Linked DNA regions of Callithrix jacchus. The protein of the gene in region 1 binds, or shares a complex with, the protein of each later gene. Links are inferred from orthologs where the notes say so. Each region holds a gene or a part of one and is shown in the gene's direction. Other genes may lie near its edges.

Region 1 (3,546 bases):
ATGCCGCTCTTCAGAATTTTTCATCCCTTGTAACCTTGATGGTGCTCTGAGTTCACACTTCCATGAAGATGATGTTCTTGGAAGGATCAATCCTGATATGGGGTCCAGCCCCAGGTTGTATGATTCTTGACTGCATTGCAGGCCCCCAAAGAGAAGCACTGCCCATGGACACAGAGGTGTATGAGAGCCCCTACGCAGACCCTGAGGAGATCAGGCCCAAGGAGGTTTACCTGGACCGAAGTCTGCTGACACTGGAAGACAAAGAACTGGGCTCTGGTAATTTTGGAACTGTGAAAAAAGGCTACTACCAAATGAAAAAGTAAGTCACCATGCTCCACTGAGTCGCTCTCACCCTCACATGAGCCCAGGTTCTAGACACTACCGAGAATAACAAAATATAACTTGGCATGACTAACCCCTTTTTAAATTAATGTTGTCACTCTTGTTAATTTCTGGTACACTATAATGAAAGTAACCATTACTTTTAATGGCAAAAACTGCAATTACTTTTGCACCAACCTAATAGTATGTGCACCTTATGAAAAATTAGAAAATAGAAACACAAGAAAATGAAAACATCAATCTAGCATAGTAGCTCATGCCTATAATCTTAGCACTTTGGGAGGCTGGGGTAGAAGGATTGTTTGAGGCCAGGAGTTTGAGACCGGCCTGGGCAACATAGCAAAACCCTGTCTCTACAAAAAACTTTAAAAAATTAGCCAGGCATGGCAGTGCACACCTATAGTTCCAGCTACTCAGGAGGCTGAGGCAGGAGAATAGCTTGAACCCAGGAGGAGGAGGTTGCACTGAGCCAAGATGGCACCACTGCACTCCAGCCTGGGCAACAGAGTCAAACTCCATCTCAAAAAAAAAAAAGAAAGAAAAAAGAAATGCTTACTTTCCAATCTGTCCCTTCCATTTGTTTTAGTGCATATGTATGTGTATACATATATAATACAAAGACGTGTATATACACACAAAAACATGCATATGTATATATTAACAAGTATATATAGGAACATATATATATATACACACAAAATTGGTTGTGATACTTATTTTAAAATATGTTTGTATATCACGGTCATTTTGTGCAATGATTAAGAATGTTTCTGTATTAATCATAAACTTTCAGTTTAGGAAAGATTGTGATCTTTAATTCTCTGCTTAAATTTGTGAATTAACAGAGACAGGACTGTGGACATAATATCACTTAGAAAGTTTGGGGAGAGGAGAGGCTCTCTTGGTTAATCTGGGGCAAAATGATGTCTTTACAATATTGAGTCTTTCAGTGTAGAAACACAGCTCATCCCTCCATTTACTAGGTCTTCTTTAGCCTCTCTCAGGAGAGTTGTTTACCTTTTCAGTGTATTGCATTTAAATGTATGCTTTTACATTCTGCAGCTAGAAATTCACTTGCAACATTTACTAAAGGCATTTTATATCCACCTATTCATTACACATAATCCGAGATGGTGAATCACAAGATGTCACAGGAATTCATGTATGTCACTGTTGGTGAGGTTTATTTACAAGTTATTTAAATATTTTATAATTTAGCGTTTTTGCTTGGTTGGGACATTCTTTAGTACTGTTCTTCACCATTCTTTTTATTTTATTTTATGTTTTTTAGAAACAGGGTTTCGCTCTGTCACCCAGGCTGGAGTGAAGCTCACTGCAGCCTCAAACTCCCGAGTCCGTGTGACTCTCCCACCTCAGCCTCCCAAGCAGCAGGGACTACAGGCTTGCACTGTCACACCTGGCTAATTTTTTTTAGAGATGGGGTATCACTATGTTGCCCAGGCTGATCTTGAACTCCTGGCCTCAAGCAATCCTCCCCATTCAACCTCTGAAAGTGTTAGGATTATCAGCATGAGCCACCATGCCCAGCCCCAGCCCCAGCCCCCACCATTCCTTTTTAGTAATGGGGCACTACTCTCATTGTCTATAAAGTCAGTGAGTATCGTTGGAACGCTGGCCATTCATTACAGGCTTCTGAAGACACACTTCCACTCTGTGGCAGGTATTTCCATGGGACTGTTTCTGCATGGGGATTATGCTTCATAAAAGAAGATTATCTAGAAGTGAGGCGTTTTGATTATTGATTTAAGCATTACGATTTCTCTTGCAGAGTTGTGAAAACAGTGGCTGTGAAAATACTGAAAAATGAGGCCAATGACCCTGCTCTTAAAGATGAGTTATTAGCAGAAGCAAATGTCATGCAGCAGCTGGACAACCCGTACATCGTACGCATGATCGGGATATGTGAGGCCGAGTCCTGGATGTTGGTCATGGAGATGGCAGAACTTGGTCCCCTCAATAAGTATTTGCAGCAGAACAGGTATTGTCGGGTACCCCCACGGGCCTGGGATCTATCCCCTGAGGGGTGGGGCCCATGACTGGATGGGTCAAGCAGCCTGATTTCCTCAGGGAGCCTTCCCACCCTTCTGTGCCTTCCCTTACTGGTTCACACTCAGGCTCCTTGACAGAGGGACAGACGGAGACACAGTCTTTGGCGTCAGCTCTGTTAGCTCTACTCATTCAGAGAAGAATTCATTTGAGAGTTTTGTCTTTTTCTTCCTGTGCTCATTCAGTCTTGGCCCAGGGATAGACTCCACCTTAGAATAATATCTTGATGATGAATCTCCTTTCTCACTGGGAAGAACACTTTCTTTTTAAAGAAACATTTAAAATAAATGTTTTTCTAAGAGGTGACAGTTAAGTCTTATCTGTTTGGCTGACCTTATATCCTCATGAGTAATGACTTCTGAAAATACCAATCGCTGCTTATTGATTACATCTGTCAAGGGAGTAGTCGTGTTCTCATCTAAAGCTGTTGTTGAGATGGGGAAACTCACTTGGAGTAAAATGGAATGACAACCACCAAGGAGCTTACCCCGTTTGCTGCACTACGTTTCTTAGATTGCCTCTTTAGTCTCCGTGGAAGGGAGGTGTTTTTACCCTTACCTCATAGGTGAGAAACTGAGAGTCAGGGTTCATTCTGTGACCTGTGCAATAGTGGAGCAAGGATTTGAGGTGTGTCTGGCTGGCTGTGAGCCAGGTTTGACCACCCTGTTATACTGCTTTTCCTGCAATTCCAAGCATGCCAGGAAACTCAATCCCAGGAGAATGACATTCATGAACACCAGGAGAATGACATTCAGTCCTGAACAGCTATATGCCGATAAAGTTATTTGTCACCATTTATGAGTTTTATTGTTAGAGAGAAGCAATAGATTTGCCTACTGCCTTCGTGAGGGGCATGGTTGTTTGTTGTGAAATGGGTCACTGTCTCCTATAGCTGATGATATTGTTGTGACTTTCAGACATGTCAAGGATAAGAACATCATAGAACTGGTTCATCAGGTTTCTATGGGCATGAAGTATTTGGAGGAGTGCAATTTTGTGCACAGAGATCTGGCTGCAAGAAATGTGTTGCTGGTTACTCAGCATTATGCCAAGATCAGTGATTTTGGACTTTCCAAAGCACTGCGTGCTGATGAAAACTACTACAAGGTGAGTGCAACTTAGCTAATACTCAGAGCA
Region 2 (4,203 bases), on another chromosome or scaffold:
TCTCCTCCCCTCCCCTCCCCCATGGGCCACTGGGCATCTGTCCTGTGACCAGAATCCAGTTTCCCCTTTTCTCTCCTGAGCCCAGGCCCAGGGAGCAGTGGGTGTGACATGTGGATGGGGGAGGAGGGCTTCCTGCAGCTGTCTTATCCCCCAGCACCCTAACCTCAGGTTCCTCCTTCCCCAGTGCGCTCAGTCTCTGGCTAGGGGGTAGAAGTCCCCATTTCCTTGGGGTGGCCTCCCTCAGGCCTTGCTCCCAGTCACTTCCTCATTCAGAGGGCAGCCAGCCACCTGTCTCCCTGAGCTGCCAGCCCCGTCTCTGTGTCTGTGTCACTGCCTTGTTCTCACCCTCTTTCTTGGCTTTGCCTCTGTTTTCTCCTTCCCCCGTATTTCATCTTTTTTTTCCCCCGTCTCTCCCGGAGTCAAAAACCTGCCGTTAGATCTTGGGTTCCGTTTCCATCTTGATTTGCTGTGCAGCCTTAGGCAAGTGTCTCTATCTCTCTGAACAATGGGGATGATAAAAGCATGTGCCCCAGAAGTGCTTTTCAGGGACTGAATGATTTAATGCTTGGGACAGAGTGCCTGCACGTTATGATGGCTCTTTTAATATCCTTTAAACAGCACAAGGTTCTGATGATTAAAGAATACTCATCACAGCTGATGCTTTAAAAAAGCTGACAAGTGTCAGACCCTGCTCTAGGAACTTTAATCCATTTAAGCCCCACAACAACTCTAAAAAGTAGGTCCTGTTTTACTCCCAATTTTACAGATTAAGAAACAGGCTCAGAAAGGTTGGGGCCGGGCGCAGTGGCTCACACAATCCCAGCACTTTGGGATGCCGAGTTGGTTGGATCACCTGAGATCAGGAGTTCAAGACCAGCCTGGCCAACATGGTGAAACCCTGTCTCTACTAAATAAAAAATACAAAAATTAGCCAGACGTGGTGGCGTGTGCCTGTAATCCCAGCTACTTAGGAGGCTGAGGCAGGAGGATCGCTTGAACCTGGGAGGCAGAGGTTGCAGTGAGCCAAGACCGTGCCATTGCACTCCAGCCTGGGCAACAAGAGGGAAACCGTCTTAAAAAAAAAAAGTTGAGTGACTTACTCAAGGTTGCCCAGCCAGGAAGAGGCAGAGCTGGTTTCAGTCTAATCAGATGAAGGTCATGCACTGACCCTCCTGTTAAGACGATGTCTGATCCCCTTTGTGGGTGGAGTCAAGTTTGCACTTCATGTACCCTTTGCCCTTCATGTCCAGTTGTTGGTCGGGAGAGCTGGGGCATGGCCCCTGGGTGACTGGGCCTGTTTCTTTCTTGGGTTTTGTTTCTGTCTCTCCTCCTCCCCTGTCCCCTCCTCCCTTCTGCCACCACCCACCTCAGACTTCCTCCTTCACTTGGCTGGACGCTGCGCCGCGCATCCCACCGGCCCTTACACTGTGGTGTCCAGCGGCATCCGGCTTCATGGGGGGCCTTGAACCCTGCAGCAGGCTCTTGCTCCTGCCTCTCCTGCTAGCCGTGGGAGGTGAGTTGGGGGCTTCCGTGGCTGCCTGTCCCTGGGCTCAGCTTGGGACAGGGCAGATAGCAGGGTGGAATGAGAGAACCAAAACGGGGTGTTGGGACGGGAGCAGGTCCCCAGCCTCCCAGAGCCTGTGGCTTTCTCCCAGAGCCTGAGCCCCCAAGATTTGCCCTCCACTACAAGCAAGGGGGAGGAGGGGACATCTAAGGGTGTCCCCACAGGACAAGTTGTGCAGCAGTAACACACACATTCTGGTGGCCCAGACACCAGCCCCCGAGTCCTGCCAGGCCCACTCTCCCCCTTGCTAACCTCCTGGCTGTCAGGATCCACCCTCCCCGGCTTCTAAACTTGTCCCCCTACCCCCATCATAGCTCTGTGTCTCAGTTTACCTTCTTTTTACTCCTCAGGTCTCTGTCCTGTCCAGGCCCAGGCCCAGAGCGGTAGGCCTAGACCCAGCAGTCCCTCTCCCTACCTCCCAAAGACCTCCCTGTCTCTGTCCCTCACTCACCCTTTCCAAACCTCTCCCCCACCCCACTGCCCGCTGACCTGCTCCCCACTATTCCCAGTGCACACATGCTGACCTCTCCTGACCCCTGTGCCATAGAATGCAGCTGCTCCACGGTGAGCCCGGGCGTGCTGGCGGGGATTGTGCTGGGGGACCTGGTGCTGACAGTGCTTATTGCCCTGGCCGTGTACTTCCTGGGCCGGCTGGTCCCTCGAGGGCGAGGGGCTTCAGAGGGTGAGTGGGGCTGGCAGGAGAAAACCTGAGGATGTGCCTGGATCCAGGAGGGGGGTTGAGTAAGGTCCCAGATCCCAAACATCCAAAGGGATGGTAATGGAGGTGCTGATTTGGAAACGACAAAACAACCCCAGCTCACCACTCTGCCTTTCTCTGCGCCCCGACACCCCTCACCTCCAGCAGCCACCCGGAAACAGCGTATCACTGAGACCGAGTCGCCTTATCAGGTGAGAAAACCAGACTGCCCTCCTCACATCTCACTCCTGCCTGGGGATGTCTGCCCCAGATTCTCCTTCATGCCATCATAGGGACCTCAAAGCCACTCTCCTTAAAGCACTCCCGAACCTTGAAGGCACACAGGGCATCTGTCTGAAACTGGGCTGAATGATTGACCACAAGCCTATGGTCAGCTTAAAATGTGTGAAGACTGGCTGGGCGTGGTGGCTCATGTCTGTAATTCCAGCACTTTGGGAGGCCGAGGCAGGTGGATCACCTGAGGTCAGGAGTTTGAGACCAGCCTGGCCAACTCTAACTCGACTAAAAATACTAAAATTAGCTGGGCATGGTGGCGGGAGCCTGTAATCCCAGCTACTCGGGAGGTTGAGGTAGGAGAATTGCTTGAACCCGGGAGGCGGAGGTTGCAGTGAGCCAAGATCATGCCACTGCACTCCAGCCTGGGTGACAGAGCAAGACTTTGTCTCAAAAAAAAAAACAAAAAACGTTAATTAAAAATTTTTTTTTATTTGAAGAAATAAGACAGGGGTCTCACTATGTTGCTCAGGCTGATCTCCAACTCCTGGTCTCAAATGATTCAAGTGATCCTCCTGCCTCAGCTTCCAAAAATCCTGGGATTACAGGCAGGAGCAGCCATGCTGGTTGAGTATTCTTGAAGCTCTTCATTCTTTCTTTTCTTTTTTTCTGAGAAGAAGTCTCACTCTGTCACCCAGGTTGGAGTGCAATGGCATGGTCTCAGCTCACTGCAACCTCTGCCTCCCTGGTTCAGGCCTCAGTCTCAGCCTCTCTGGCTGCAGCCTCCTGAGTAGCTGGGATTACAGGCATGTGCCACCACACCCGGCCCATTTTTGTATTTTTAGTAGAGACAGGGTTTCACTATGTTGGCCAAATTCACTGGTCTCAAATTCCTGACCTCATGATCCGCCTGCCTTGTCTTCCCAAAGTGTTGGAATTACAGGCGTAAGCCACCACATTCAGCCTAATTTTTTTTTTTTTTAAAGTAGAGGCCAGGTATGGTGTCTCACGCCTGTAGTCCCAGCACTTTGGGAGGCCAAGGTGGGTGGATCGTGAGGTCAGGAGATCGAGACCATCCTGGCCAACATGGAGAAACCTCATCTCTACTAAGAATACAAAAATTAGCTGAGCTTGGTGGTGTAAGCCTGTAATCCCAGCTACTCAGGAAGCTGAAATAGGAGAATTGTTTGAACCCGGGAAGTGGAGGTTGCTGTGAGCCGATATCATGCCATTGCACTCCAGCCTGGTGACAGAGCGAGACTCCATCTCAAAAAAAAAAAAAAAGTAGATCTAGGTTCTTGCTATGTTGCCCAGGTTTGTCCTGAACTCCTGGGCTCAAGAGATCCATTACCTCGGTCTCCCAAAGTGCTAGGATTACAGGCAAGAGTCACCATGCCTGGCTGAAGCTCTTTTTAAAAACTATGGTGTAGACAAGAGAATCTACACATCTGTCCCCCTCTCTGTCAGTGTTTCTTCTTAGCCCTTTGGGGGGTCATGAGATCCTCCAAGACCTCTCCCCTGAAAAATGCACACCCAGACGTCATTACATATGATTTTAGGGTTTCTGTGAGAGGCCTGCCCCTGGGGGCCGCATAGATCCTCCCCACACCCAAGCGTGAACTCTGCTGTGTGAAGTCTAATATATTGTCTGCAACCAGCTTTGCCCATTTGTCTCACTTGTGGATAAAGTTTCTTTGTGAAGTCTAAG

What was found. Proteins that work in one complex are often made in the same cells at the same time.
Region 2: the proteins of SYK (region 1) and TYROBP are in contact, whole or in part, in a crystal structure (PDB 7Q5W), measured with the Homo sapiens proteins. The link is inferred for Callithrix jacchus from reciprocal best matches to the Homo sapiens genes SYK and TYROBP. Residues at the interface, in NP_001167638.1 of Homo sapiens: Arg22, Arg42, Asn46, His62, His63, Tyr64, Thr65, Ile76, Ala77, Gly78, Gly79, His92, Asp97, Gly98, Leu99, Arg175, Arg195, Arg197, Lys212, Leu214, His215, Tyr216, Arg217, Ile228, Pro229, Glu230, Gly231, Lys232, His243, Lys247; in NP_003323.1 of Homo sapiens: Pro90, Tyr91, Gln92, Glu93, Leu94, Gln95, Arg98, Ser99, Asp100, Val101, Tyr102, Ser103, Asp104, Leu105, Asn106.

What each region holds. Positions count from the first base shown.
Region 1 is NC_133502.1:74,829,089-74,832,634, reverse strand, and holds part of SYK (tyrosine-protein kinase SYK), read left to right. Parts: intron 1-141; coding exon 142-319; intron 320-2,131; coding exon 2,132-2,341; intron 2,342-3,326; coding exon 3,327-3,516; intron 3,517-3,546. UniProt on the Homo sapiens protein: Non-receptor tyrosine kinase which mediates signal transduction downstream of a variety of transmembrane receptors including classical immunoreceptors like the B-cell receptor (BCR).
Region 2 is NC_133523.1:32,090,199-32,094,401, reverse strand, and holds the start of TYROBP (TYRO protein tyrosine kinase-binding protein), read left to right. Parts: upstream 1-1,369; 5' UTR 1,370-1,452; coding exon 1,453-1,513; intron 1,514-1,914; coding exon 1,915-1,947; intron 1,948-2,111; coding exon 2,112-2,246; intron 2,247-2,426; coding exon 2,427-2,473; intron 2,474-4,203. UniProt on the Homo sapiens protein: Adapter protein which non-covalently associates with activating receptors found on the surface of a variety of immune cells to mediate signaling and cell activation following ligand binding by the receptors.